Saccharomyces cerevisiae S288C: one gene and its partner. The protein of the gene in region 2 purifies or fractionates together with the protein of the main gene of each other region. This does not show direct contact. Each region holds a gene or a part of one and is shown on either strand. Other genes may lie near its edges.

Evidence for each region.
Region 1: the proteins of NAB6 (region 2) and LAF1 purify together in Saccharomyces cerevisiae (affinity purification with mass spectrometry, with the first as the bait; one large-scale study listed by BioGRID). This does not show direct contact.

The regions. Positions count from the first base shown.
Region 1 is NC_001145.3:464,129-479,902, forward strand, and holds LAF1 (Laf1p), read right to left. Parts: upstream 8,225-15,774; coding exon 5,720-8,224; downstream 1-5,719. Other genes in the region: YMR099C (glucose-6-phosphate 1-epimerase), read right to left, coding at 1-699; MYND-type zinc finger protein MUB1, read left to right, coding at 2,172-4,034; SRT1 (ditrans,polycis-polyprenyl diphosphate synthase), read right to left, coding at 4,317-5,348; YMR103C (uncharacterized protein), read right to left, coding at 8,774-9,136; putative protein kinase YPK2, read right to left, coding at 9,292-11,325; phosphoglucomutase PGM2, read right to left, coding at 11,769-13,478; YMR105W-A (uncharacterized protein), read left to right, coding at 13,936-14,130; ATP-dependent DNA helicase YKU80, read right to left, coding at 14,173-15,774.
Region 2 is NC_001145.3:28,338-45,215, forward strand, and holds NAB6 (Nab6p), read left to right. Parts: upstream 1-5,905; coding exon 5,906-9,310; downstream 9,311-16,878. Other genes in the region: NADH-ubiquinone reductase (H(+)-translocating) NDI1, read right to left, coding at 1-1,470; YML119W (uncharacterized protein), read left to right, coding at 2,274-3,347; NGL3 (3'-5' poly(A) RNA exonuclease), read left to right, coding at 3,997-5,514; ATR1 (borate transporter), read left to right, coding at 9,859-11,487; VAN1 (Van1p), read right to left, coding at 11,850-13,457; TAF8 (Taf8p), read right to left, coding at 13,706-15,238; DAT1 (Dat1p), read left to right, coding at 15,708-16,454; CTK3 (Ctk3p), read left to right, coding at 16,726-16,878. UniProt on the Saccharomyces cerevisiae protein: RNA-binding protein that associates with mRNAs encoding cell wall proteins.

The DNA of each region.
Region 1 (15,774 bases), 440 kb from region 2:
GGGCAAGTTGTATCTTTTTAGAGTGTGAATTTGAACGCCCTTGTCAACTATTTGAATGGCCCGTTCGGCGCTGACATTCTGATAAATTACATCGGTTTCTTGATTGAAGGTAACGACTGGGTGCTTGTCGACGTAGGATTCCTTCAACAGTTGGTCATAAAGTTTCATGCCAGCTAAATTAGAGACCATTGTTCCTTCAATATCTTCGATACGGAAGTATGTATGGAACAACCAGTTGAACTTTAATTCCTTGGAACTAGATGTGTTTTCTACTTCTATGGCAGTTTTCAAATAATCGGAGCCTAATTCAACAGTCAAAATCAAAAGATAATCCATTGGCCACAATTTGGTCAATTCTGGGTTAGCAATTTCTGGTTTCAAGCCAAATTGTACGGTCGGTGGGTTTTCCTTAGTTTGACCCAAAAACTCCCAAGTAGAATTTCTTGCAAGACCATGTTGAGGTAATTTACTCAAATGTTCATCGGTGCTATTTTTCCCGAATACAGGAAAGACCAAAGGTATACCACCTCTCACAGGTTTGCTACCATCCAATTTAGCAGCAGTAGACAACCACAACTGTTCTTCAGATTTCAATTTCCAAGAATAAACTGTAGCACCGTACTTTAGAATATGAACGCTGGTGGTCTCATCAGCTGGATGAGTCAAAACAACTTCTTTATCAGTTTCTTTGATAGGCATGGCTTTGTGTTTTAATCTTTCTTGGTTCAAGTTTTACCAAAGGCTTATAATGAACCTCAGAATCACCTCTTTATTCATTTCTAGGGACCTACTAAGTTTTCTTTCGGCGTGAAAAATAAAAGGCGCATTGGTGACCCCATTTGCGATACCTTTTTATGGAAAGACAGCTTGAAGAAAGACCTTGTTATCATTGACTGCGTCTAGCGAACGAGGACATCTACACACTATTTCTTCTGCTGCAATGATTGATGCCGTTTAGATGAATGGTCGGGACGTAACTTATGTTTTAAGAAGAAGGCACTTTTCCTGGTGCAATAGATGAATCTCGGTTTCAAGTTAACTATATAAATATGGGGTTGGCATTATATGTCATGCTTTATTATAATTAGGCATATAAAACTACATGGTTATGAAAGGCGCTGGCAGTAAAAGGGTTGTTTGTCAATGGCAAGAATTAATCATTCTCGCATTGAAATATATGTAGATCGAGGTGAACTGTTAGATGGTCCATCAGACATTTATTATTTTGACTTATGTATTTCCCTCTCAATTTTGTTATCAGTAATCGAGTCATGTGTACTTTAAAGTTCATATTCTCACGTTTTTCGCAAGATATTAGCCGCCAATAGCAACTCCGAATAATAAGAGCTATATAAAGGCCGTTGAAGCCCACGGAAAGAGAAAGAAAACTAATAGTTATTACAATATAGACCGTTGGTTTTTTCTTTCCCTCCTGGAGCAGCTGCGTATAGTTACTACCTAAGAAGTGGGCTAGAAGTTGGCTAGAAGTGGGCTACTTAATATATATCTTTGGATACATAGAAAGGAACCAGGAAAAAGGAAAATTATTTAGATGGCTTCCATAAGTTTATGATGGTTCAAACGGCAAAAAGCCTTTTGACTATTTTTCTTGGTTGAACTATCTTCTTATTAGGCCTACTACAACAATGCATCGAGCTAGGATAACAACTAGAATACTTTGGTTATGTATTGTATGGGTGTTCAGTGGCAAAATTTGAGAGTTGGGTTATTGATGGTCGGCCTATACAAACGAAAGACCTAGAGCAGCTCACAAGGAAGAAAGTGCTGGACAAACTTCCCTACCTGAAGAGAAAAATATCCGTTTTTTATATAGTTTCTGTAAGTGTGCACAGTGACTTCCTCATTAGAGCGATATAGATAATTTGAGACTTTATTTATTTTTTATTTTTGTTGGTTCTCATATTCAACCTTCCATTTATCTAAGTTGAACCATTAAACATTCCCTTTTTTACTTTGCTAATTTCATCATACCCATTGATCAACTATAAGTGAAACTTGGGAATCTTCCATTATACAAAGGTGAGGTCCCTATTTGTTGCATTTTTCAATTCATTTCCCTGGGAGTTTTTGTTTGTTTTTGCTATATTAACATATCATAACAGCGTATAGAACGTAATTTGAAATATTCAAAACAAAGAAAAGGTAAAGAAATGAGAGACTCTAATCATCGATCATTAACGTCGAACAAGCCTATAGTAACAATAACATCTACTGTCTATGACCGAAGGGCATTGGATATCAACTCTAGTATTCCGTTAATAAACTCCCTAAACTACTTAACATATCTAACCTCTAATTCATCAAAAGTTAGGGAAACGGTAGCTAACGACGGTGCTCTCGAAAGATTAGTCTCAATATTGAGGAGTTGTCATTTAAGTTTGTTTGAGTTGCTGGATTTGGATTTAGAAAATTTTAATGAGCACGAAAACATAAAGGATCTATGGAAGGAGAAAAGACTAGCACTATGCGCTTGGAAATGGACTTTAACATTTCAGTGCTTAGTATTGACAGGTACTAGAGGGACAGAACAAATTCGTAAAAAAGTGGTAATGTCTGGGGTCTTATCTGTGCTGGTCACAGTATTGGATAACTATTTACTATATCATAAAAATTACGACTTCATCAAAGATCAAACAATGACCTTTGACTTCAAAGGGATAACCACGGAGACAATGTATAAATTCATGAGAAAAGATGAGAATGAAACATATCAGCAGTATATAGAGTTCATTACAGGTCAGGATAAATTGAAGTTGTCAACTGACAAAAATTTTCTAAACGAACGATTAGTGGCACCGTCTATGACAATTCCAACTGATTTTAGTGATATATGGGGCCGGTTTGCAGACCTAGCTAGCAATTTTGAACCTGACCAGGAAAGACACGACGACGACATTGATATTGATAGTGAAGTAGAAAGTGAAAATTTTGATGCACATAAGAATTTCTTTTCGCAACCAGACATTAATAGACCTACAATTTCCACTCCACGTGAATTTTTTCTCGGAAGAATTGTCCCCAAACAAGACGACGTTATATGGTCGCTTCAGTTATTAGCTTTTGTTTCGAAGTATACATATATGAAATCAACCCTTCAAAATGTTGAGCTGGTTGAATCCCTATCGTTCAGAAGTATGGCTTACAAAATTAAACAGAGAATCTCAGAAGAGAATGACTTAGAAGAACAAGAAAGAGACGTAACTGTAAAATTGTCTTCATTATATCCTTATTTATCGAAAAATCCTGAAAACAATTCCAAAGTTAAGGCACTAGATACTAGCAAAATGGATCCATTTTTCAAAGAATTAGAAGAACTCTCAAACAGATGTCAACAAGAAGAACAAAATGAAATATGTAATAACCACTGTCCCGTTCTTAATTTGTTTGAGCGCTACCGTGTACCGAAACCTAGCGACGACAATGCCTATGGCAAAGACAAGGAAAGAATTAATTTAAGGAAGAAAATATCTGATAACTTTGAAAGGCGCTGGAGCTACGATAAAATGAAAAAGGAATTAACAAATATTGTTTACAAAAACAAGGTACTAACAAATGTTGTAAACATCTTCCCCTTAGTCGAAAAATATACAGTGAGCGCAGAAAATACACATGATGTTATATATTGGAGTTCTGTCATCATGAGAAATTCATGTCGAAAAAATGAGATCTTAGGTGTGCGTCAGTGTGCCAATTTTTCGTGCGGAAAATGGGAAGATTTTCCAAGACAATTTGCAAAATGTCGTCGATGCAAAAGAACGAAATATTGCTCACGAAAGTGTCAATTAAAAGCATGGGGATATCATAGGTATTGGTGTCACGAAGTTGGATCAAGTCATATGAGATCCACGAATACTACCACAGGTGTCAATACCCCAAATGAGCCTAGTTCTTTAAATGCCACCGCTACTACAGCAGCTGATGTTTCGAATTCTACCAGTACGTTCACTCCTAATATATCCACCACCGTACCTGATGAAATAAGCAATAGGGATGAAAATAGCATACCTGAGTAAAGTACAAGGGGATTTCGATGACCTAGGTTTAACAAGATCATGAAATATTCATTAACGGAGTTTTTTGTTTTCGCTTTTTTTATTTTTTGTTCCTAATTTTTTTTTTTTTTACATTTTATTAGCTATACACTTGGCGCAAGGATATTTTATATACCGGATATAATAGATAATTAAAAGACTACTAATTAAAAATGATGTAATATGGTAATAGGTATGGAAGAATCAGGGAGTTTTCAGAATGTTCTTTGCCCTCTCTTGGGCTTTCTAGTTTTGCACTTTTACTTATTCATCTCCTGTAACCGAAACTGAAATGGGGGGGTTTGGAAAGTTGTACAAAGACATAGCTGTTTTCTTTTTTTTAAATATTGAAGGAACGCTTTCATGTATTTTTTCAAACAATGAGTGATTCTTCTCATTATATTTTTGAATGGTGGAAAAGAAGGACCATTTGAGAATCATCAGGTACATAGCAAAGAAGCTAAAATTTGGCCACAACGTATCACTAAATTCAATGGTGGCATTTTCATGTACTTGCCATAGCATATAGTCTGAGAGCCTCCTATGCCCACTTGTTCTGATTAATAATTCACATTTATTGGAATGGAAACCCATGTACATTTTATTAGTAAATTTTCTTATATTAATCCTTGGTGATTTATTTTCCAAATGGTCTTCAACTGAATCACGAATAGTATGTAACATATCATTTCTTGAAGTGTAAGGAAAACATATAAATAAAGTGAAATCGTCTCCATCCTGTGTGATTTCTTCCACTTTTTTAATTTTTTTTCTCATTTCTGGAGATAGTAAAGATTGATCACCTACTATTCTTATTTTAGATCCGTATAAGGGATCCTTATAGTCCTTGGCTCTTTTTGCGAATTCATCAAGCTTTACCGTAAACAAATTCATTAGCGTATCTACTTCTTCTTTTGGTCTATTAAAATTTTCAATAGAAAATGCATAGGCGGAAACACATTTTACACCCAATCTTTTGCAGATATACAGTAGTGTTAGTAACGTTAACCCACCAGCTTCATGGCCTTTTTTTACTGGTAGCCTTCTTGACTTGGCATATCTCCGGTTACCATCCATGATAAAGGAGACATGTTCAGGCACTGGCCCTACCCTTAATGCTTTTATCAAAATATTCTGAAGATTTACATAAAACCATGAAAACAAGCTTAATGACATAACCCACGCAAATACTCTCTGAAATATACTTTTCACTGCGAAGCACATCTGTTCTTTGGTTTCTACCAAAAGCCTTTTTAGGGCTACAAACTGAATCTGAATAATACTGGGCATTTTCATTATGGTCAACAGAAACGTCCTATGTTTGAAAGGCAGCCTGTTCTTTATAAGTTGATAAATTGAGAAAAGTGCACCAAATCTTAATCTACTCTGTGTGTATTTTTAGGTCCCTTAAATAACAGAAAAAGTATAGCTTTAGCCGCCGAGGTCCACTCAGTTTGGAGTAGTTACCCTTAACAGGCACTCACTCCGTTTTGTTCTTTCGAAGAGATACGTTATAGTATATCGGCAACAAATGATAGGCTCATTGTTAGCGTTCATTAATTATTAGATTAAAATTTATTTAAGTGTATCGTGTTTCTTTACTTTATGTACGAAGATTAATATGCATTTAAAGGTATCATCCACGGAAAAAAAATACTCCATCAGCGTTAGCGGAAGTTATTAACTACTGTACCGCAGTCTACGCAATAATAGTTTCTATCTTGTTGGTCATTAGCACCAGAAAAAGCCTCAAACCTTGAACCGTTACAAACATTGCAACGGATAGGTAAATTCATTGCGCTCGTTGGAGTGGTAGGCCCATGTGCATTGGAGAAAATAGATGACATGCTTTCCCTTGGTGTTCTTGGCTGTGCATTACTGCCGAGTGTTTTTAGTGATGTACTGCTTTTGGGACATATATTAGAGTATCCACGTCCCGTTGCATAGCCTTTTCCAGTATTAGTATACGCCGCTGCCGGTTGGCCAGCCAAGTTTGATTTCGCTCTCGAGTTGAAGCTTCGACTCAAAGAATGCAAAGAATCAGAACTGTTAAACCTTCTCCGAACCTCTCTATTGTATTCTTCTAGTTTGAGTAACACGCGCTTTCTTATAACAGAGGGCATATCTGCTCTAAACACACGAATAGTCCCTACGTTATCAGTACTGATCAATATCGTTCCAATTGCGTCAACGACATCTGGGATAGCACTGGTGGCGGAAGCATTAGAAATTGAGCCTGGTTTAGAATTGTAGCCCAAAGACGACTCTACATCTGACATTATGCCATCGTCGTTACTCCGACTCAAAACATCGAAACTATCGGATGTCTGAAAAAACTCTAGAGATAGCTCGCAGATAACATCGTTAGACAAAGATAATGTTTTCGAAGTTTCTGGCGGTGCAATGCTAACACAAGTAACAGGGGCATTGTGTGCATGAAAAGAAATGTAATCCGTATTTTTGATATAATGATCGTTGCTATGATGAGGCAAGGGAAGTAAGTTAGTAAGTTTTAAATGATGATGTGGTTTTTCTTCGTTATTCTGGCTGGAAGACCTACTCATTGATTTACTAAATATGCTTCTCAAACTTCCGGACCGAGCCAATCCCTTTGGTTTCCTTTTAGGTTCGTCTTGATCATTCTCTCTATCCGAAGACTTTAACCTCCAGCCGTAAACCCAATGGTCATCACTACTATTTACAACGATTGGCTGACCATGCCAGATGGACAATTGTGCCTTGTGTTGGGAAGATCCGCTATGGAAGCCTTTCAATACCTCTAGAAGCTTCCTCTGTTCTAAGTCAAAAATTCTTATCCTCGAATCATTCGATGTAACTACTAAGCGGAAAGAATTGTCCAGTTGAGATCTAAAAGCTTGCAAACCCGTCACACGTGGACCATGACGAATTTTTGAGTCAGTTTCCGTGACCATGACGTGAGCGTTTTGTTCTTGTGTTTGTCTATCAGCTACGTGAAATGAAGAAACTGGAGTGAGACCTCTGGTCATCAGAATATGAACGTATCCATTAAATGTTCCTATTATAGTGTATTTTCCCTCCTCAGGGGATAATGTAACAGATGTTATTAAGTCTTGACAATCGTACTCAAAGCTAACTTCATCATCCAGTATAGACCATAACCTGCATTTGTGATCCAGACAGCCGCTAATGAAAAATCTATCGTCGGTGGGGTGAAATTCCACACAAGTGACAAAATCAGGATGTATGAATGTCTTAAGTGAATTTTTCCTATCGGGATGCCATAGTTTTACTGTCTTATCCATCGATGCTGACAAAATAAAATTATTTTTAGACCAATTTATATCCAGAACATCTTGCACGTGTTCTTTATACAGTCGCAAAGGCGTTGGGTGAAAGACAGGCGCATACAAATTCAATAATTTTTCCTTCTCTTCGTATTTCTCTGTAGCAGAATCCAAAAATTGTTTTTCTTTTGGATTGTTCAATGAACTGACCTGCTGTTTGATCCGCATCGACTTGGCTCGTGCCTCTTTATTTGATTCCGCACTCGAGTCCAATTCGGCTCTTTCAACTGGAGAGCCAATAACTTTCCATATTCTTATTTTACCATCTTTGCTACCAGTGGCCATAAATTTTCCATCGCGGCTAAACTTTGTACTCCATATAGCTTTAGAGGTTGGTTCAGATGATTTGGAAGTGGAGGTAACCGTTTCACCTTCGTAGGCCATTAGTTCTTGCGCGAGAAACAATCTTCTAAATTGTTTCAGGTTTTTCCGACGTTTCAACATTTTAATGTATTTTGGCTCTCTCAAATAGTTTTCAAATTGCTCTGTATCAATGGAATTGAAAGGGTAAAACTCATTGACCCTAAGATTCGAATTTAAAGTATTGCCTCTCTGTAAATGTTCCTTTAGTCTCATAAATGAATCAGTGGCGTTGCCGTTGTTACTATATTTTAATTTGTCATTTGTATTATTAGTTTTTGTCATTCTGAACTTCAATGGCTCGATATCTGCAGAATATTCAAGATTTAGTTTGCTTTTACTTTTACTTTCACCGGAACTGGACTCGCCGTCGAAGCTCTCTTGATGCGACCGACTCTCCTCTTCAGATCCAGTGGTATTCGAGGAATTGCTGAATTCAGAATGTACCTTGCTTATACTTGTTTTATCCTCCGCCATATTCGTCATATTTCTAATTCTCGTACTATATTATACGCCACTACCGTATACAATATGCCAAGAGCTCAGCAACTGCTTTCTATTCTTTTTCTTTGATTGTCTTTGTTCCTCTTTTCCCTCTTTCTTTTCCTCCTCTGTTTAACAAGTTGGAGAGAGTTGCAGTCTTGTTCCCTATACGGTCCAGCTGTGACTTGTACGAACGCGTATTGTATCCCAGGAAGAAATAATGATGTAACTCGCTTACGAAGCTTAAGAAAGGGCAAAAAAAATGTGTCCCCCCTAACTGCGAAAGTGAAAAAAAAAAAAATTAATGCGTTGAATTTACACAGTTCTATGTATAATTAACTGCTACGATAGAAACTGGACAGTAGTAAGAAAGATTGGACTAGGCATCACCCAGACTTTACTTTTTCGGCATACATATCTATTTATATATAGTTTAATACGTAAATACAAATATATATATACTGTAAATTTTAATCATTAAGCTTTTCTTTTTTTTTTGTTCACGCTTTCACCCTGTGAGGCGAATGAGGTTAGCTTTTTCCCTTTACGGGACTAGGTAAGGCTCCCCATGGCTGAGCCCGCGCAAGGAAATCCAGGATCATCCGCGGAAGAAATAAGCTGCTCCCGGCCCAGACTATGTAAGAAAAGTGGCAACAAACAGAAAAGCGAATCTTTCCTTTCAGGCAATGCAAGGGTCCTTTGCCGTTTGGCGAATTCCGGTAACCTCGACTTGCGCCCCGCGGGCTTCGCTTTGACATCCGCGGGTATAAGCGTCCGTCCTTCGGCCGACAACAGGTCGGTCTTTGATCTCAATTCCGTAGATGGAAGAATTCTGATAATGCTGTAAAAGAAATGAATAAGCAACATAAGTCGTGTGAGAGTTGCTAAAAGAAGAGCGCAGCCTCTGCGGACCATTCTATTTTCTGTAGTTCTTCTTGTCCCCGTTAACCACAATAGTAACGGAGTGCGTATCGCAATCTACTTGAACTATCCATTTTTGAAAATTGCAACCTCTTGCGGCTATAGCTATAAATTCCGTCCGGCTCGGCTCGGCTTGCTTCGGCTTGCTTCTAACTAATGCTTCTCCCCTGCGAAGGAGAATCACCCAACTGTTCGTCACCAATGTACGTCCACCCACCAAACTGCTTTTGAATACTTGCACTTAAGTACTCGTCCACTACACTATCGATCGGTTTTTCCTTAGTGAACTCTTGATCAAAATTTGCAGTATCTATTTCACTCTTTACAATTGGCTTGTAAGGCGGAATATAGCCCTTCAAAAGTAGCTTTTTCCATGAGATGTCTTTAAAGAAAGGATGGTTACGAATTTCATCTGTACCGTTAACGCCGAGTCTTCTGCTTGGGTCTCTGCTTAAGAGGCCAATTAATAGGTCTTTTGCCGCAGGGTCAAATCCATCAGGAAATAGTAGCGGTTGCTGCAGAATTTTCTTGTACATAACAGGAACGTTCTCATCATAGTATGGTGGCAGCCCTGTCATCATCTCATACAGTAAGATACCTAATGTCCACCAGTCAACTGTTTTAGTATAGCCCTGCCCCAACAAGATTTCTGGTGCCAAATATTCGGGAGTACCACAGAAAGTGTCTGTTTTGTCATTATCCTTCATGTTCAGCTTGCAAAGCCCAAAATCACACAGTGCAATATGTCCTTGGTAATCCAATAGAATGTTTTCAGGCTTTAGGTCACGATAAATGACGTCAAGTTTGTGTAATGAATCGAGAGCACATAATAGTTCTGCAATATAAAAACGGGAGCGTGCTAGACTGAATCGTCCCTCGTGTTGTAAATGGTAGAACAGTTCACCGCCATTAATGAAAGCTAATACTAGGTACAACTTCTCCGGAGATTGGAATGAGAACTTCAACGGAACAATAAAGGGGCAGTCAACTCTTGCTAGGACAGTCCTCTCCGCTAAAGTATGTGTCACTTCACATTTCGATACAATATATGCTTTTCTCAGAGCCTTCAAAGCGTAAATCTTTTGGGTATCTTTTTTCCTTACTTGCATCACTTTGCCGAACGAACCCTTCCCGATAACCTTCAATAGATCAAAGTCATCAATGGAGAGAGGCTTGTTCTTAGAAGGTTTGTAGTCCACCGTGATATTTAATTTACCATATCCCCTTTCTAAAGAAATCCAATGGTGATTGTATAGTCTTATTTGGGCTGCAGAATCGATTTTTAAATTCAAAGGTAAATGGAAGGAGTCCAAATGGATATCCTGATTTGTATTGATTTTTTTTAAAATCTCCTTCAGTACTTCGTCCTGCTCGCCAATCTCCTGTTGCCAGTTTTTAGAGGGTAAAAGTAGGGATGGAATCCTTGCAAAGACATCGATTTTTAAAAATCGTAATTTTCTTGTTACATCAAATGTCGATATTTTGTTAAACACTGGTTGCTCCATCGTTCCCATATCTGGACTAATAGTAGTAATAGAATTATCAAATTCAATTGTAAAATAAAGTAATGGGCTTGAATTTGTTGACCCAGGTAACAATATAGAGGAAGGAATGAATTTAGTGGCAAAAGCTCTATCTATCAAGCCTTCCCCTGCTGAATCTTGATCCACTCTCTTGTATCGTGGTAGCTGCCGCATTATGGCTGCAACTTCGGAAGCGTCATTGGATGATGAAGTAAGGATGCCGGAACTTAGTAGTTTTTGTAAAATAGTAGAGTTAGAGGTGATAGGGAAGGGAAGAGTAAAATCTTTACCAGAATACACCTTCACTGTCATTAGTCCGGATTCCGAACTCGGTCCCTGCGTCTCAGTAGACGACTGACTAGCTTTCCTTTCGGAAGCCTTAGAATTGTCATTTCCTATCCCCGATGGATTCTTGAAGGATGCATCATTACGTAATTTTGGAGAACTTAAGGAACTTGGGAGAGTCTCATTTGTATTGATCTTTCTTATATGGTGTTCGTGTTCATGATTATGATTCTTCGGGCTACCATCGTGATGTTTTTCTCCATGGTGGAAATGAAACAGGCCATTACCCCACGATTTTTCATTTTCATCTTCACTACTCCCATCATCTTCTTTGGACCTTCCTAACTTAAACTTGGATATTCGCCAGGAATGCATGTTACTATATGTATATTTGTATACGCGATAATTTGACCCAGTTGAACAATTCTGGTTTAGGAGCACTTTGGCTGAATTTTATCATTTTATTTATAAATCTAAGGATGACGGCCATTTTACAGATTTCTCGAGGGAAATATAATAAAAAACTCGGGGTAGGTAATCTGAATTCGGGGATACGCTAATTTGGGAAAAATTCGTGAATTAGATATAATTAGAAACAGCACTTATGAAGAAGATACTGCGATTAACCAAAATATTCTCCTCCTTATGAAAAAAAAAAAAAAAAGACTCAGAAACCTATGCAATCGTTTGCTAATATGTCGAAATATGGATCTATTAAGTATATAAAGTATGTGTTCAAAAAATTGAAATTTTCTTCTTTACCGTTAATATTCATTGAAAAAGGTGAAAATCATTAAGCCATTAGTAAATCATTCGTTTTAAGTACGAACCGTTGGTTCTTCAGTTCCTAAAACTTGTTTAAAGTTCAAGAACTTGATGACCGAGTTAATAATTGGCTTCAAGTATTCTTCAGCTGTCTTTTGGTATTGTGATTTATCATCGCAGTATTTTTCAATGTACAATCTAATGGTAGCACCTGAAGAACCTGTACCTGACAATCTTAGAACGAATCTTGCACCATTGGAAAGCTTGACATATAAACCTTGATGGTCAGAAACAGAACCGTCCAAATCTGTGTATGAAAAATCACCACAATCGGTGACCTTAAGAGACTCATCGGCTGGGAAGGCGGAATTAACAACACCCGATTTGGTAACATATGCTCTCAATTGATCGACAATCTTGTTAGCTTTTTCTGTTTCAACTTTTTCAAAATCATAACGAGTGAAGAAAGTACGGCCGTACTTTGCCCAGAATTCATTCTGTATCGTCTTAATAGAAGCTTCGTTCTCCGGATGATGCTTGTTGTAAATGGCCAAGATGTTCAACCACGCCATAATGGCCCAAACACCGTCCTTTTCCCTTACGTGGTTGGAACCAGTACCAAACGATTCTTCACCACAAATAGATAATTTTTTAGCGTCGAACAAAGCACAGAAAAATTTCCAGCCAGTTGGGACCTCATAACAGTTTAGACCATGGGCCTTGGCAACACGGTCTATGGCTCCTGAGGTAGGGAATGAACGGGCCAGACCATATATACCTTGCTTGGCGAAATATGGGATTTCAGCTGCATATTCGGCAATAATTGCGACGGAGTCACCTGGAGAAACGAAAGATGGGCCGTAACCGTAAATCATATTTCTATCACCATCACCATCGGATGCAGCACCAAACTCAATCTTTTCACGATCTACTCTTTTCACTAACGAACTGGCATAAGTTAAGTTTGGATCTGGATGCATACCACCAAAATCCGGAGAAGGATGCCAGTTTTGTAAAACCTCATCCGCCGGTAAACCAAATTCATCAACGAAAATAGCCTTACCGTATGGTCCAGTTACACCGTTCATACTGTCAAACAGTAACTTCCAATTCTTAGTAGAACGTTGATTATCGATGAATTTCTTGATTAAGTCGAAATCGAAGATTTCCTTCAAGAAGTTGACATAATCTTTTGTAATATCGATAATGTCAACGAGTAATGGACCGTATTTCTTGTTCTTGCCTATCGTACCCAAGTCTAGTTCTGGGAAGTCTTTGATAATCTTATAGCTGGTAAGCTTTTTGGAAATCTCCCAAATAGCATTTGTGACGGATTCAGGAGCAGGACCCCCATTGGATAAGTTATACTTAATACCCATGTCATTTTCTGGACCACCTGGATTATGTGAGGCGGTTAAGATAATACCACCAGTACATTTTTCCTCGTAGGTTCTCATGATGTGAGAAGCGGCTGGCGTAGACAGAAGACCATGCTGGCCAATAACTAACTTTTTAATACCGTTGGCAGCACCGATAGCGGCAATCTTATGAAGAATGACATCATTGTAGTAACGCCCATCACCACCGACAACAAGAGTGGCACCTTTAGAACCCTCTGGAATAGCTTCCATGATCGATTGAATGAAATTTTCTGTGTAGTTAGGTTCGTCTTTAAACACCTTTGTCTTCTTACGCAAACCAGAGGTACCAGGCTTTTGGTCTTCATATGGTTTGGTGGGAACCGTTTCAATTTGAAATGACATGTTATGTTAACTTTTGTTACTTTTTTTACTGAGAAAGATTGGTTGATCTTCTTCTTATTATCCTATTGTTCAAGCAACGCTGAAGAAAGACATGGAACACTATCTTCGAAAATGAAACAATATTAACGGTACCTTTTTATATTTCCCACATTGTTCGGGCGGCAGTCATCCAGATTCTGAAAGAATCAACTATTTCTTTTACACTTTTCAACCCCTGTTTGTTCCTGGAACTGCACATAACAAAAGTATAACGTCCCCTTTCACGTAAGTTCCCCACGAAAAAAGTAGTGCGCGACACCACCCCTTTTCGTGAGCTCCGCGCTTCTCTTCACCGAGCCTAAGTTGGGCCTCTCCCCCCTAGAAAGAACAAGTTGGCCCTGTTGTCCTTAGCTCGCAAGCTCAGGGGCAGCAGCGTGTGTTGAGATTAGAGAACCGCTCGACCTCAACGGATGATAGTATGATTTTAGTACATACAGGGAACGTCCTCTACCCACGTTTTATTGTTGTTGCATTTACTTTTGAACAGCGACAGGGGGGAAGGTGTAAAGGAGGAAAAGCAACCTGCATGGCTAGTGTTCAAAGTTACAAGGTAACAATGCAAATCAGTAGTATGACAATTATTTACCCGCTATTTATTTTTTTTTCTCTTTAACTGTGGTGACGAAAACATAACTCAAAGGATGTTAGACCTTTTTTAATTATTGCTATTGTTTGGACTTCCCCTACTGTGTTGTTCACCGCGCTTCAATAGCGTTTCTAGGTCCGGGATCTTTTCCCTCTCAAGCTCAGTTTTTAGTTCGGAGTCGAGTTTTAATTTGTCTACTTTCTTGATGCCGAGCACTTCAACCAATTTTGTGCTATCAAATTTCTTGTGCGTGTAAGGACTTATTTTGTTTTTCAATGAGTCAGGAAGCTCTGGGATTTCAAATTCCCTGGAATCATTGATCATCAGTTGGTGAATCCATTCCAGTAGCACCTGTTGTTGCCTGTAGACAAAAACCGTGGGTATTCTAAGAGGATCCTTTTTGTTTTCCTCTTGGTCTTTATTTAAAGAGGGAAGTGGGAGAGTGGTGTCTGTTGTTACTTCGCCTATGGGTTGATAGTAGTTGCCTAACGGAATCTCTGGTAGCTCATCTGTATCCATTGAATCTACAAATTGTTCCATAAGCTCATCGATTTGATGCCCGTCTGTTTCCTTTTTCAGCGGTACCCCGGATGTAGTTGTTCGATCCAGAAGTTTTGGAAAATCAGTTACCCTCTCGTCTTCCGCGAATGGTAATCTACACAAGGTAAGGCTCTTAACAAACTTCTTCTCGGAATTAATGTTACTGTGCTCAATTAGAACGGGACACAATGCACACATATTCACTTCACTGTCTTTCTTGCTCACATATCTTGCAACAGCAATTTTTCTATTTTCTAGCATAACATCCACTAGAGCACTGAAAGCCATTAAGTCAGATTGACAGCCAAGTCTTGTGTCGGCGGTAATGAAGGAGGATTCCGACGTCAAAAAGTACCTTGGAAGAGCTTCTCTATTCAAAAATCCTCTTAAATCCAAGCCTGGAAAAGATTCATATACAGTTTGATCGACTAGAACGGACGGTAGCACTACGTAGTCTGCACCATAACGGTATGCCTTCGTTACAGAGTCTTTGGAGATGGTCACGGGAATGTATGACGATCCAGACTGGTCATCTTCACTGACATTTTTCTTATTTCCTTCGTTGTGAATTTCATATTCGATTATGGATTTGACCCCCACATACCTTTCTTTCTTCTGGGAGTCTTCCACCTCAACAGCGGTTTTCCTATTTAAGCCTGAAACTGCTTTCGTAGCAGGAAAAGCCTCTACCTTGATACATAAGCAATTTTCATCTTGCATGCTGCCGCTAGGATTCGATGTTTGTGTTGATAATATATCTGCCCCTAACCTAAGCTCGCCTGAGAATACTCTTACTGGCTTAACGACAGATGTTGCTGGGGAAGTGATTTCAACAAGAAGTTCATTCATATTGTAGATTCTTGAATTCGGTATCGCTTCGACCAACTTTAACCAGTTCGATTTTTTCCTCTCCTCTTGAGTGTCTTTACCGCAATCAATCAAAATGATTCTTGTGCTTAATTCTTCCGTTAGCAGGTCTATTTCTTCATCAGTAATATCCAGATCATCTAAATTGTCTGTAAATACAACAATTTGTTTTAGAATTTTTCTTGCTTGAAATTGTTGTTTAATATCTAATGAGACGACCAACAGACATTGAATCATTGATTGTAAGCCTTCATTCGAACTATC
Region 2 (16,878 bases):
TCTTGCAGATAGAATCATGGACAAGTACAAAATTCTCCATAAGTAGAAGGTCATTAAGCCACCACCGGTGTAAAATGTTCTCTTACCGGAACGTATGGTTGCAATGGCCCTTTCGGATCCCAGGTATGCTAAGGCACCTAAATCGTTGTATTTGAAAGGTTTAAAGTTGTTCTCCTCGAACAAGAGATCAATTTTATCCTTTCTTGAAGATAGATTCTTTTGGAAATTTGGTATTTGAGCCATTTTATCAAAATTCTTGGCCAAATATTCGGCCTCTTGGTGCGCTACTTGGGCGGTTGGTGGCAACCCAGCAAATGCATTGTCACCAATGGCGAAAATGTTGTTGCTGCCTTTCACCTGCAAAAAGTCATTCACTGCCAATCCTCTCTTGGACGAGTTTTGCTCAGGAATTTTCTTGAAAAGGTCAGTGATTACCGGTCTTGCCTTGTTACCCGTGGCCCAAATCAAAGTACCGTATGGAATAGTTTCTTCGGTTATTTTACCGTCTTCGTGTTTGGTCTTTGCCAACAATTGCTTTTCTTCAACTTTGGCGACAGCCGTTCTCAGATGTACTTTGATCGAAGTGTTTTCTAAATGTGATTGCGCGTATGATGAAAGCTTTTTCTCAAACATATTCAAAACGATGGGCAGAGCTTCGACCAAGTGAATTTGGACTTCTTCGGCCAATGCAGGGAGAAACTTTCTCAGGTCCTGGTGAACATAATCCTGTAGTTCACCAGCGGCCTCTACACCAGTAGGCCCACCACCAACCACGACAATGGACAGTAGTCTTCTTCTTTCGGGATCACCCTTTGGCAATAAGTTAGCCTTCTCTAGATTGGCGGCAAAAGTTCTTCTTATTTCCAAAGAGTTGGGAATTTCCTTCAGGAAATGACCGTAATCAGTGACCCCAGGAATACCAAATGTGTTAGGTTCCGCACCTACAGCACTGATTAAATAATCGTACTTAATTTCAGCAGGTTCTGCTTGATGCAGCCCTAGATGGTTTTCAGGTTGGTATAGCTGGCTAACGGCAGATAATGATTTTATGGTAACGGTATTCCTGTCGGGATTGATAGAGGTGGCTTCTGCCTCATAGTAGGTAACGTTCCCCTTTTTCTTGAGAGCAAAATTAACGATGGGCTCAATAATTGACTTTTCGTCTACTGTCCCAACTGGTGCAGAAGGTAACAAAGGCGTAAATAAGAAATAGCTTCTAGGAGAGATGATGGAAACGTTGTACTTCTTGGTGTCAATGTGCTTTAAAAACGAAATAGCTCCCCACCCCGAACCCAGTATCAGCACGTTTGGTTTGTCGCTGTGCTGAGGGTCAATGACTTTCATGGTCTTAAAAGATGTAGGACCTGCTCCGGAGTTTTCCACCCCTGTGGATCTGGTGGAAGCGAATCTGACTAGCGTATTCGTCGAGGTGAGCAACCTCTTGTTACTATACAAATTCTTCGATAGCATAGTGGTTTTTAGTTTCTTCTCTTGGGTAAACGTGTAATTCGATGATGTGATGAAACTGACACCCTACCTGAAACTCCTCAATTGGTAGTTAAAACTCCTTCCCCACTATGCCCTATACATCTTATATATACCCTGTCGACGTTGCAAATACCGGCAATAACCAAGAGCGCTAAGGGGGAGCACTCTTATTGTGGTTACCCGGACGTTCAATGCCTTCATATGATTGGTCCGAATGAATAGGTCATGAGAAAATGCATATTTTTGAGGCATTTCAGCAATGATCGGCAATCTGCACATATTCGTATTGTTTCCCTGAGTAAGTTATTTGCGGAAAGAGACATTCTATTGCTTTGGAGTATTTTGTGGTCTTCGACAATAAAGCGAAGGAATAATAGGTTCGTTGCTAGCGACAAGCAACACATAGTTGTAGTGATGCTATAGCAAAGAAAGGTCACAGATTCATTATTGACCTTTTAAATGGTGCCCAGTGGCAATTGCCGTTTTAGCATTCTTTAAATGCGTAGTATATGAGTTTTAAAGTGCTTTGTTGTTCACGTGCTTTTCACGTGTATGATTACTTAACCGGGTAGCGCCGGTCTTTAATATGCTTTCCAGATTAGGAAAGAACATAAATAAAAACACAAAATAAGAAAGTGTCAATCATCCGCATTGAAAGAAAGAAAAGATTTTTTTATCCCTCAATTGTACATGAAAACAGAGACCTTTCAAAACGTATTTTAACATTCTTTTACTCTTTTCTTGCACCTGCAGCCTTAGGTCAGTAAGAAAAAAAGTAGGTAGCAATGAGCCCAAGTCCATCAGTGTCGCCAAGAAGGACGCTCAATAACAAATCATCTTACATCAATAACAGCGGTGGGCTGGTCCTGCCTCCTACGCAGTTTAATTTGAATCAGCAGCCAGTCCTGAGCTTCCAACAAAAAGCGACTTTCGATTCCAACCAGCAGTTTTTCTATTATCCAGAGTCACCCACAAAAAACCTGAGACCAAGGTTTAACAGTATTTCGCAGGTTAATAAAGGAGTTAATGAAGACCATTATACCGGGGGCGGTAGCAGTAATAATAACAGGCCATCTAGATATACAAATACCATGGGCGCTGCAAACACCAATGTAAATTCCCATCCGCATCATCAGTCGGTGTCGCATTTAAATTCTAAATCTCTTAAATTCAATCAAACGAAGGAAGTGAGCAGCATAAATGAAATTATTTTTCCTTCCAGAACGTGTACAAAGAAACGGTATTTTACCAAGCCAATTGATTTGTATGGTACAAGAAGTAGCACTAGTGTGGCACCTAAGTTGACGAATTCTCCCACGAAATCAAAAACAAATTTCAACATCAAGAAGTGCATCTTACCTAGGTCCGTCGTTACCACATATAAATTACCATCTCCAGTGCACGAAACGATAGACGATATATCCAAAAAAATCATAATCCTGCTAATTTCGTTGAAGTTTGAGAAAAACTATCACTTCTTGCAACCTATTCAATTGTCCACAAATAGTAAGACACGGATCTCAAAATCACTAGACGAATTATGCGGAGTGCAGCTGACATCAACGTTACGGCAACAAAAGCAGCTGCAAGGTAACAGCAAGCCCGTAAAGAATCTCCCTAATTCCAATGCGAAGCAGAGAGCCGGGGCCAGTGTTTCCACAAATGCCAACGAAAGCTTTGAATTGAGTTTTGATGGAAAGGCAATGGATAGATCTGATATATTTCGAATGGTAGATTCTTTTAGCATCGCCATTTCAGATGAAGATGAGGAAGATGAGGAGGAGGATAGCTTTCAGCAGAGAAGTGCGAACAACAGAATCCTCCCTGCGGAGATACTAAGTAATGAACCTTTGAAATGATACGGATTCTCTGTATTCTGTCTATAGTATTTATATACCAATACATTTTTCCGCACTTTGAAGTTTTGCATTTTACTTAATGTAGTTTATTATTAGTTGCCAAAACGAAACATTTAACATGTGAATTAAAAATACAAAAAAAAGCCTATTAACGATCTAAATTTATGACAAAAGACATATAATTATTTTAATGATGCCTTTGTCACAACCGAACACAATATCTTTGAAAAGTGATCCAGCAATCGAATTCAGAATTCGTTGTGCCATTTTTGCCTTACGTTTGCGCCATTGTAATTTCTCTGTGCCGTCTTCTCTTCACTTTATTTCAATATTATCATGCAGTAAACAAGTTGCAGAATAATAAATAATATACGTACCAAATATGTGAACAACTCAGATACTATTCATTTGATATGTTAAAAGTCCTGCATTCCTCTCCCGACATTATATATAAAATGCTCAGCCACCCCTTCGTTGCACAGAAAAAAAGGATGACCTATAATACCAATATTCAATCACAATAGTTATACCAAACTAACACATGGTTGAAGCAGACTACTTACTATCGTGGAGTTAGCTCACTGAAAATTTAATATTTACAGCATTAAACAGTTTTTTCTTTTGTTTTGTCTCCTACATTAATTTCAATATGGATAGCCAAGTAGAAGGCAAAATATCCCCCTCACAGAAGGAGTCCTCCTCCACCTCAGGCCTCGTTTCACCTAGTGAAGATGGCCCAGCACATCAAAAAATACACAGAGACCAATTAAGTGTGGATCAAATCAAGAAAATCAGAGAAGAACGTGCTCAGAAGAGACAGGTACGTAGGAACTCTCTAATATCCCAAGGGAAGGACCCTGACTTCCCAACGCCTGACTTACAATTCATTGAAAGACCATTCCTCCCTATCAACCATGATAATTCGAAAGGTCTTACGCCAGCGACCATACAAGTCACCCAAGATTCATTGGACGTTAAAATAATGACCTATAATACTCTAGCACAAACCTTGATTAGGAGAGATTTTTTCCCAGAAAGTGGACCAGCGTTAAAGTGGCATAAGAGATCAAAAGTTTTGGTCCACGAATTGAAAAAGTACAGGCCTGATGTAGTATCGTTGCAGGAGGTCGATTACAATGAACTCAACTTCTGGCAGGAGAATTTCCATAAGTTAGGGTTTGATGTGATTTTCAAAAGGCATGAAGGGAAAACTCATGGACTACTAGTTGCATGGAACAATAAAAAATTCCAGTTAGATAATGATTGGATGCTGGACTACGATAATATATTGGCGGGAAATGTCATTTCAGCAAGAACAAGAACTAAAAATATTGCCCTTATTATATCGCTATATTTCAAGGGTATAACAGATTCATCATCAAGAGGAATTATCGTCGCAAATACACACCTATTTTGGCATCCCTTTGGGGTATTTGAAAGATTAAGGCAATCTTACTTGGTTTTACAAAAGATCCAGGAAATTAAAGCATGTTCCAAATATAATGGCTGGCATAGCCTACTGATGGGTGATTTCAATACCGAACCTGAAGAGCCACCGTACTTGGCCATAACGAAAAGACCACTGATATTAAAAGGCCCAATAAGAGCTATGGTGGAATGCTCACTAGCGTATCGGTATTCAAAAAAAAGGAATGGAGAAGAAAGTGACCAGGATGATGAAGAGTGTGATGAAAAGTCTAGGGGCGAAGGCCATTCAGATCAACCACAAAACCCAAAACCAGAGAGCTTTACAGCCACAAAGGAAGAAAAGGCTCTGGTAAATCAATTAGTTGCGTTGCATAATTCACTACATGTGAAAGGCGTATCTTTGTATGGGATTGGCTACGGTAAAGTGCATCCTGAAAATGCTAACGGAAGCCACGGCGAACCGGGACTCTCAAACTGGGCCAATACATGGTGTGGATTATTAGACTACATATTTTATATCGAGGGTGATCATAATCAGGACACGCGTCAGAAAGAGCCTCTGAATGCTTTTGAAGGAAATAACAACGTAAAAATAATCGGATATCTGAGGATGCCGTGCGCACAAGAAATGCCCAAACACTCCCAACCTTTCGAGGGAGAATATGCTAGTGATCACATTTCCCTAATGTGCCAAATACGCTTGTTTTTTGGGGGGGAGAAAGTGCATAGCTTAAAATAAAGAAACAATATATATAAACAACCTACATTTGTGTTTGAAAGACAGTAATCAACGCTTCGATGGTCACTGGGATTTTTCTTTCAATTTAGCGTCACTTTCACCTTATTCACAGCTTTTACGTGCTATTTTTGGTCACCCTTCCCCTTTCGTTGCGCCTCAACGGGCTAAAAAAAAAAAAATAAAATCAAGCATAGAAACACCACAACAAACCTGCCCTTTTTCCTTGTTTCAGGTTACGTGAAAAGCATCCAGAGAAGATATCCCAAAGACTGAAGAGGTGTAGTTGGCTCATTCACGTCGTTCGTTTATATTATCAAGGAAGGGGTTTTTGATCGGCTCGAACAAGACTCGCAAGAATCCGTTTTCTATTGTTTTTTTTGAGGATTCCAATATGTCAAATTCCAATTCAAAAAAACCTGTTGCGAATTACGCATACCGTCAACAGCAAGATTATAATGGGATGAACGCCATGGTGGGAAATCCAATGATGTATCATCCTGTTGATTTCGTAAACGGTGCCGGCCAATATGGTCCTTCTCAACACCCAGCATATTACACCAACTCACCATTACCTAATATTCCACCAACACCTTTTGATACTGCATACGGTGCCAGTCTTTTTCCATCTCACCTATTGATGGGATCTCCATTTGTTTCCTCGCCTAACATGCAAAGTGGCTATAATTCTGCAAGATCATCTAATCTCAAAAGAAAGGCTTATTCGAGGCCCGTTTCTAATCATAACGGTTACAACGGAAACAGTAACAGTAACCAAAACAATACTAATAACGGAATGGTAACACCCTCGAACTATTATAGAATGGGGAGAAATTCTTTCTCGAGGAACAACAACAGTACGAGGAATGTTACTCACAACAACAATAAGGGGTGCGACACCCGGAACAACAGTGGAAGAAGAACATTCGCAAGGAATAACATTTTCGACGACATACTTCCAGAAATGCTTTTACAAAGACCCTTTTGTATTAATTACAAGGTTCTACCGACTGGTGATGATGCTTATAGAACTAGGTCGCTGCTTATTGAAAATGTGGATCATTCTATTGATTTACACTCTATAGTCAAAAATTTTGTCAAATCCAATACTCTGGAAAGTGCCTACTTAATTGAAGGAGGGAAGAGCGATGATTCAAAAGATGTAGAGACTAAAAATCTATCCATTCTAATAAGCTTTCTAACCAAAGGCGACTGTTTGAACTTTTACAATAACATTTTACAAAGGTTATCTGAATTCAAAACATTTTTGAAATCTGAAGCACTAAATCTGAAATTTGTTTGTCTAAACTATGATCCCAAATGCCTCCCTACCTTTATTGAGAGTGAAGCGTTAACAGAAAACGCTGAAGAAGCCGACATTACCAATGGTTCAACAATGATCAGTGCTTCGCTGCATCATAATATAGCGAACAAAGATGCTACAAGGTCGATTATAATTGAATTCAAAAGCCCCGTGGAGAAAAGCGATTTATTCAAAAAGAAATTACAATTTTTGGACAGGTCAAAAAACAAAAGATACATTTTGGAATCTATCGATTTAGTGAACACAGATGTACCTTCCAATCAATTTCCTGAAAATTACGCCGTTTTAACCTTTTTGAATATCTCTATGGCTATTGAAGTTCTCGATTATTTGAAAAAATACTCCAAAAACTTAGGCATTTCTAAATGTTTTTACGTATCCCTAGCCCCGTTGGTAGTTAGCTCAGCCAGATCTTCGGTTGCTAATATTTACGAGGGTAAAACGAGCACACATCGTTTATCGGTGCCTTCTGTTACTGCTGGGAACAATAACGATAGCAACAACAACGGAAACAATAATAAAAGTAATATGAGTGGTATCACCACACTCAATAATAATAGTAGTATTGGTGTTTCCGTATACGGTCACTCTAATATGAGTTTAACCAGTCTGTCATCATCTGTATCTTTAAATGAAGAGATTGATATGCTTGCGACGAAACTTCAAGGGGTAGAACTTGATGGGACTTATTTAGAAATCAACTATCGCGACTATCAAACACCAACTATTGAAGAACACTCTACTCACTTGAGCAATGTCAAAATTTCAAAGACAACAGAAAACTCTAGGCAATTTTCTCAAGATATCCCATCACCTTTGCCATTAAATGAACATATGTTTATGAATGATTCTAATCAGTCCAATGGAGCGATAATACCTCAACAGTTAATAGCCACACCTTCTCCGGTATCCCCCAATTTGCAAATGAATCAAAGGGTGTTGCCGAATCCAATAACTCAAAGTTTGGAGCAAAATTTCAACGTTTCGGCCAAAGTGGCATCATCCATGGGTTCAGACATAGGCAATAGAACAATTTATATAGGAAACATTAATCCAAGATCAAAGGCGGAGGATATCTGTAATGTCGTGCGTGGAGGAATCCTTCAGAGCATTAAGTACATACCGGAGAAGAAGATATGCTTTGTTACTTTCATCGAAGCTCCATCCGCTGTACAGTTCTATGCAAATTCATTTATTGATCCAATAGTGTTACATGGGAATATGTTGAGAGTTGGATGGGGGCATTATTCTGGTCCATTACCGAAATTAATCTCGTTGGCTGTTACGATCGGGGCAAGTAGGAATGTCTACGTAAGCCTACCAGAGTTTGCATTTAAGGAAAAGTTTATTCACGACCCTCAGTACAAAAAATTGCATGAAACACTATCTTTACCAGATGCGGAACAACTAAGAGAGGACTTTAGTACCTATGGTGATATTGAGCAGATTAACTATTTGAGTGATAGCCATTGCTGTTGGATAAATTTCATGAATATATCTTCTGCGATTAGTCTTGTTGAAGAAATGAATAAGGAATCCACAGTACAAAATGAATCCGGTGAAGTGACGCTTAAAAGGGCGACTGAGGAAAAATTCGGTGGCCGTTATAAGGGCCTTCTGATAAACTACGGCAAAGATCGTTGTGGCAATATAAACAAAAATTTGATAGCAGGTAAAAATTCAAGATTCTATAAGAAAGTTAAAAGACCGAGCTATAATATACGTTTGAGTAAGTTGGAAGAAAAGAGGAGGCAGAATGAAATCGATGAAAAGGAAAAGGCTTTTGATAAACCCTTGAACTTGGAATCCCTAGGAATTAGTCTGGACGCACATAAGGACAACGGCGGTGGTGAAACAGGAACTGCAAATAATACTGGGCATGAAAATGAAAGTGAACTAGAGGCTGAAAATGAAAACGGTAATGAGACTGGAAGTTTCGGTGGACTGGGTCTCGCTGTGGCGAGCTCTGACGTCAAACGTGCGACATCGGATGAAACTGATTATGAAGATATATTTAACAAGTCATCGGGATCTTCCGACTCGTCATCAGACGTCGAGGTCATTATGCACTCCCCGAGCGATCCTGAATACGCTTTAAAATCACAAACTCTAAGAAGCTCGAGTCAGACCGTCATTAATAGTAAGAGACCAGTAAAGATAGAAGACGAGGAAGAAGCCGTAGGAATGTCACAGCTCAATTATAGGTCGTCATTAAGACAAGCTCCTCCAAGAGCTCCCTCAACTTTGTCATATAATCACTCGAAGAACAACGAAACGCCAATGCAAGATATTTTCACAAATGGCGAAACAGCAAATAACAGAAAGAAGAAGAGAGGATCTTTTGCAAGGCATAGAACGATACCAGGATCTGACGTCATGGCCCAATACCTTGCACAAGTGCAACATTCGACATTTATGTATGCAGCCAATATTTTGGGCGCCTCTGCGGAAGACAACACGCATCCTGACGAGTAGTATAGCTGTGCTGAGCCTGAAGTATAATGCATATCCATCGGACTATTTAGACAAAGCCCAAGGAAGCCTAAGGCGGCCTGCCAAGGTGTTTCTCCCTTTTTTTCTCCGATTTCTTTGTATAAACTAAATAATATAGTGATTACTAATGGAATGGCGGTATTATGCACCTAACCTGTTCATTCTGCCACAGATTACGTAAGCGATTTATTGCCGGCACTTGTTGTCTTAATGACCGAGTCACCAATGTGGAACGATAATTTTCTCTGACTCAAACCTGTTAATTTTTTTCTACTTCGTTTCGTTAGCGACGACGTCAAGCCGCAGGATCCTGTCTGCCTTGACCTCTTCTCTACCTTCAGAACTTACACTTTTCAGGTAAGATGACCTTTATATAAAAGTTGACACTATTACAGTTGTTTATAAACGTCTGAAGAATGAGACGTTTTTATAAAATGAATAAAATGCATATTCTAAGTTTAAAACAACATTTTCAAAGTGTACGATTGTAAAAAGAGAGGCAATTAGAGAATCTCAAACAGGTAATAATAATGGGCAATCAGTCATTAGTTGTGCTTACGGAAAGTAAGGGTGAGTATGAGAATGAGACAGAACTACCTGTTAAAAAATCGTCACGAGATAATAATATCGGAGAATCTTTAACAGCAACAGCTTTTACGCAGTCTGAAGATGAAATGGTAGATAGCAATCAGAAATGGCAGAACCCAAACTATTTTAAATATGCATGGCAAGAATATCTTTTTATATTCACATGCATGATAAGTCAGCTTCTAAATCAAGCAGGCACTACACAGACTCTTTCGATCATGAATATTCTTTCGGACAGTTTTGGCTCAGAAGGAAACTCAAAGTCATGGCTGATGGCATCTTTTCCGCTAGTTTCAGGCTCATTTATTTTGATTAGTGGCAGACTAGGTGACATATACGGATTAAAAAAAATGTTGTTAGTAGGATATGTTCTGGTTATTATATGGTCTTTGATTTGTGGGATTACCAAGTATTCTGGTAGCGATACTTTTTTTATTATTAGTAGAGCCTTCCAAGGGCTAGGGATTGCATTTGTTTTACCTAATGTGCTGGGAATAATTGGTAATATATATGTAGGTGGTACTTTTCGTAAAAACATCGTGATTAGTTTTGTTGGTGCGATGGCCCCTATTGGAGCAACTTTAGGTTGTCTTTTTGCAGGACTGATCGGTACCGAGGACCCAAAACAATGGCCATGGGCATTCTACGCGTATAGCATAGCCGCTTTCATTAATTTTGTGCTCTCCATATATGCCATTCCGAGTACTATACCAACAAATATTCATCATTTTTCTATGGATTGGATTGGTTCTGTTTTGGGCGTGATAGGTCTCATTTTATTAAATTTTGTGTGGAACCAAGCTCCTATATCGGGTTGGAACCAGGCTTACATCATCGTAATTTTAATCATTTCTGTGATTTTTCTTGTCGTTTTCATCATTTATGAGATTCGATTTGCCAAGACTCCACTATTGCCGCGCGCAGTTATAAAGGATCGTCATATGATTCAAATTATGCTGGCTTTATTCTTTGGATGGGGCTCTTTTGGCATCTTTACGTTTTATTATTTCCAATTTCAATTAAATATAAGGCAGTACACGGCATTATGGGCTGGTGGAACTTACTTTATGTTTTTAATTTGGGGTATTATTGCCGCCTTACTGGTAGGATTTACTATCAAGAATGTGTCTCCATCAGTGTTTTTGTTCTTTTCTATGGTAGCATTCAATGTGGGCTCAATAATGGCAAGTGTTACACCGGTTCACGAGACATACTTTCGTACTCAGTTAGGAACGATGATAATTTTAAGTTTTGGGATGGATCTTTCATTTCCTGCTTCTTCCATTATCTTTAGTGATAATTTACCGATGGAGTACCAAGGCATGGCTGGGTCATTGGTGAATACTGTTGTCAATTACTCCATGTCCTTGTGTCTCGGTATGGGTGCCACAGTAGAGACACAGGTCAATTCAGACGGAAAGCATCTTTTGAAAGGCTATAGAGGTGCTCAGTACCTTGGGATAGGATTGGCAAGTTTAGCATGCATGATTAGCGGGCTTTACATGGTCGAAAGCTTCATAAAAGGCCGCAGGGCAAGAGCTGCTGCAGAATACGATTGCACTGTGGCTTAGCGGAAAGCGGTTATTAAGGTAAATAGATAGAAATACACCGCTGTCATGCGATTATATAGACATGGGGCATTTAGACACTGAAAGTCTTCATATCTCAACATGCAACTAGTAATAGTACAATTTTTAGTACCCTTTAATCTTTATTGTTCGCTCCCTAATAACGAAGCCTTGAACTGTAACCAGATCCCAGGTTACCCCTTATCCTTAAGAGGTCTTTTATTTACTCTACATAATATATATTTTTCAATCCATTGAAGAGGATTAAAAGAAGAAAAATCAATACCGAACAAAAAAACAAAACGAAATAAAACAAAACAAAAAATTAAATTAAATTAAATTAATATTAAATGTCATCATGATTCTTACTCTGATTGTCTTCTCTTCTCTCTTTCCCTTGACGCAATTTCCTTCAAATCGTCATCGCTCGGTTCATAAATATGCCAAATAGTATAATGCGGTAAACCACCAACCCTGTACCCCATTTTCTTTGCCATTTTACCAAATGCTTCTGTTTCTGCATGATTTTCAAAAGTAAATGCAGGAAACTGTACCCCGTTTCTAAATATTTTGGCCTTCGCCAAAATAGAAACTCCCCCTACACCGTCCAAGTCCACCGCTTCATTTGGATCACCTTCTGCATCTCTGATATAGGCTAAGTGAACTCTCCACGTAGGATATTCTGCATAGCCTTCTACAATAACATCATCTTCGTCAAGAGTCTTTGCCAATGCTAGTGCCTCCTGAGATTCCATCCAAGAATTCAAATCATATGGTTGTTCAGTTCCCAAAAATGTAGGTAGTGGTCTCCAAACGTTAGGGACGATAACATCGTAGTTTTTGCTCATCAAATCTTGAATGACTGAACCAGGGCACAGCTCTACATCAGCATCTCTCCAATAAACCCATGAGTGGTAAGGTTTCAAAGCATTGGCAGTTAACCAATTTCTTGCCCTCCCCATTAGTTTTCGTCTTATACCTTGAACCTTAACGGCATGTCTGTCACTAAAACCTTGTCCAATTACTTGGCCAAAATCCTTTTGGAAAATTTGTACTGATCTAAATGGCTTGTCATAATTTTCATGGAATGGTGGTGAAAATGCCTGGTGGACACGGTTGATATAACCTTCGTCCATATATTTAAGATATAATTTATCGGTGCCTTTTGTTTGCGAATCAATGACAGCGTCAATCTCTTGAAAAATCTGAGACAACGTGCCATTTTGTAAGTGCCTAGAATACGCTATTAAAGCATCCAACGTAGTGTCACCTTCTGAGCAATCACTGACTAAAAAGGCCAGATCAATCAGCTCGTGTGGATAGGTTAGGTTCATTAAATGCTTGAACATTAATGGCAATACATCCGCAGCGTTTCTTAGTGGAATGCATAAAAGAATGTGATCACGTGTTTCCAATCCATTCGGAGCACCTTCAAAATTCGACAGGTCGTACTCCTCAACAGTGGAATCAAAAAGCATGTTGAGTTCCCTTTGGTATTTTTCATCATCCTTGGGAGTCAACACTTCTGAACCAAATTGTGATATTAGATAATGTTGCACACCATCATCAAATTTTGAAATCACTTCAGGATCGATATCCTCAAAATCATAGTCGTAATATTCTTCATCTTCTAGGTCGATAGTCTTGTAATTTTCGGAGGATTTTGAGGAACCCAACAACGACCTACCATTTTGCGTGGATACACCAATGCCCATTCCGGAGAGAAATGATATAAAGAGATATAACGACAGAACGGCGATAATAATAAGAGATGTGATACTCACCGTAAGCTGGAATTTAGACGGTGTGGAGCGCGGCTGGTACCTGTATTTGCCCTTTAATGAGTTGGAGTTATGCTCTGAGCGTTTGTCCTTGATGTTGTTCGAGCTACCGTTCCTTGAAATGGGCAGGCTTAGTCCATTGTCCATGGCTTTCTTCTTTATATTTGACCTTAAATTAAAAAACATGCCCATTTTTTTGTGTTAATTGGTAGGTCAACAAGCTCAAATGACTGTTACTGCACCCTTACGTCTACTTCTTTCACGTTACCATTTACTAATTTACAAGACGTAAACTTTCTTTGATTCTAAATATTTCAAGCCTTGTTTCGGTATAGTCGCCGAAGAACGAAAAAAAAAAAAAAAAAAAATTCCTCTCCGGAGATAAATTGAATACGTATTATTATATTAGGGACAAACACTGGTTCACTGAAAGCAGTTGTTTACATAGTTATATCGTGATCTGTGGCTATATCTGCAGGAGGAGATGTCGGGGCGTTTTCATTAGGCGTCGAATGAGGAGAGTGACTTGTAGTAGCATCGATATTGGTTGTGTTATGTGCTACAGGTGTAGTATTTGTAGTATCTTGCGCTGTCATTGTTGGCGGTTCCGATTCCGCGACCAGGTTCTCCGCAGGCATACTCGACATTTCATTCTCATCTTCACTGCTCCCTAAGATGCCAAATAAGTTTATGTCATCGTCCTCATCCTCGGCGTTTGTGTTGATAACTATGGTAGAGTTGTTTAATGCATTAGGGGTGGTCGTGTCGTCTGCAGCGTCCCTTGCGTGCTCGTTATTTAGTAGAAGCTCAAGATCATGGCCTTCATCTTGTTCCCTCTTTGTTCGTTGTGAAATAAGCTCTTCTTGCCGACGTTTTAGCGATTTTGCTCTTTCTTCCTTGGCCATTCGTATTTTTTCCTTCTTCAACTTCTGGACCTTAGGTAAATTGTGCATGAATAGTGTCATAGACTTACGAAATTGCAATTCTATGGTTTTTTGTATGGTTTTGTGAGACTGGTGAGGACTCTCTGGAAGGTAGAGAGTTTCAGAAATTTTCAAGAATGGATTTTTTGTTCTTTTCAACTGATTCACTTCAAATTTCGTGACACGTTCTCTCGCCAATTCCACTCTATACTTCGCATACTGCTCGATATTGTTTTCATTGAAGGACTTTTCAGTTATGGTTGGTTTCCTTTCTTCCAGCGCGTTGCCCCAAATCTCCAATTGTTGCTCGATAGCGTCCTCATCGTCTAAACCCGGCGGTTGCGGGGTATTTGACGCTGATGATATGTGGGAGAGACTTTTGTTCAAGTTCAATAGTGCCTTTTCAGACTCTTGGCTTTCTTTTACTATTTCTTTCTTGATGGTTTTTAGATCAGTAATTGGATGGTTGAACTCAGGTGTAAACTTATAGGTATGGTCAGGCGGAAAGTTGGGCAGCCAACTCGGTATCTGTTTTTCCAGTGGGTTAGAGGGAGGCAGCAAAACGTTGATCTCGTTCTGTTGCTCCTCGATATTATTCAATTCGTCCTCTTCATCTTCTTCGTTATGCGGTAAAGCAGCAAGAGACGACCAGCTCATCAATTTTTCATATTCCGTGGAATGCTTCGATTTGATGAATTCTGAGGCCTGAAACTGCTGATAAAGGGAGGGCGCATCCAGGTTAAACTCTCGAAGCAACAATTTCAAATCTGCTTGAGAAGCTTGCGACCTTCTTTGTAAAAGTGTTAAATTGTGCAGGTTCCGAAACATGCCGTCCATTTGGACGGTCACGAGGTTGACCAGCTCATCCAATGCAAAGTTTGAAATGCAGATGTTCAACGAATTCAACTGGAAAAGTACTGTTTTCTTTAGAATTTCAACTACGGGAGCATCTATTTCCAAGTGACTAATTTCCGTCAAATCCGGTAGGTTCCTCAGCTGAACTATGGTACTTTGGGTACCGGTACCACTTTCTGACGTTTTGGAAGTCATTGCCCTTTATGAGTCCCTCAATTACACGTTTGTTTGCTTGCTTGCCTCTCTCTCCATTGCTTTTACTCTCTTTTTTAAAGAGTTCAAGATTTTCTACATAAAAGCATCGGGTAACACTCCCATATACACCATTTGTGCTTAAGCTGGCTTCTACCAGTCGCGTTTCAAGCGACTTTATTGATCGCATCAGCGTAGAACAAGAACAGAACTATGTATGCAAACAGGACTAATCATCTTCAGTTATCTTACTTTAGTTTGCAACTATTTATATCATGTTTTCTTTTCAACTTCTTTTTTTTTTTTTCGTTTATGAAGCCGATGCTAATGCATCAATTTTTTTTTTTTGGTGATGAGTTTTGAAAGAAAATGAAAAAAAAAAAATTTCTATTATTGTCAGTGGAGTTTTTGAACAGATCACCTTGTGAATCTACAAACTGTCCTAAAGTATATTGGAGCAGGACATTGGGTGATGGCGAAAACTTTGGCACAAGGAAGGAAACCTGGAAGCGGCAGAAAGCCCGGAAAAGGGAAGACGTTGAGAGAGGGAAGAAAGCCTGGCAGTGGTAGGAGGAGGAGGCAAGATACTGGGGGTAAAGAGACCGACGGGTCTCAGCAAGATCAGGAGTCGCGTCTTATTAGTTCCAGGGACATGGAAGCTGTGGACGCACTGAGAGAGTTGACGCACAGCCCGTCGTCTCACTCAGCTCATAATTCATCAGCAGCACCACCGCCGCATGCAGCAGCGGCGTCAACTTCATTGCCTCCATCTCTGGATTATACCCATCAGTCATTCATGGATCAACAACAACAACAGCAGCAGCAGCAGCAGCAACAACTACTACAGCAACAGAGAGTGGACGTCGTTCCGCCCAAGCCGTTCATCACCCACAAGATCCTGTTATCTTCAACGGGAAACTCTGGCGGCCACGTGAATTCAAATTACAACGCCGACCACAGCATTAATCATAATTCAAACCACAACCTTAACAGCAACGTGAACGTGAACATGAACTTTACTATAAATGGGAGCAATCAAGACCCGTCATCTTCTTTCCTGATGGGGCCCTACAACTACTTACAGCGGCCTTTCATTGTGAAACCATATCTTGATCTGTCCACAAGCACAGCAGCATCAAATCAGCCACGGACGCAACCATCGCCGGCAGCACATATCACTAAGAATTCCGATTCTACAGAGAAAAACGCAACCATATGACATTCATTTCCAGCATACCACTAAAACATTCGTATATGCCACATAATAACTAGTTGAGAAAACCATAGATATTTATATTTATATGTATTTGTACTTCTTTGAGCAATGTATATTTAAGACTGATCTCAACTTCAGCAACTGTTCAAATTCACTGTTTTTCCTAATTAAGCACAACATGAAAAACTAGAATTTTAGAAAGAAAAGGAAAAAGAATACCAGATGGTAGTTAATTTCTCACAAAAGCACTGCCAGGTAAAGGTATACAGCAAGGATGGACTCTCTTGAAGCTAGATTACAATTCATTCAGGTCCTGAAGAACCTGCAAAAGACGCTGCACAAGACCAGAGACTCTATCACATCATCGTCGACCACCACACCACCGTCATCGCAACAAAAGCTGAACAATGACCCTATACAGTTCTAC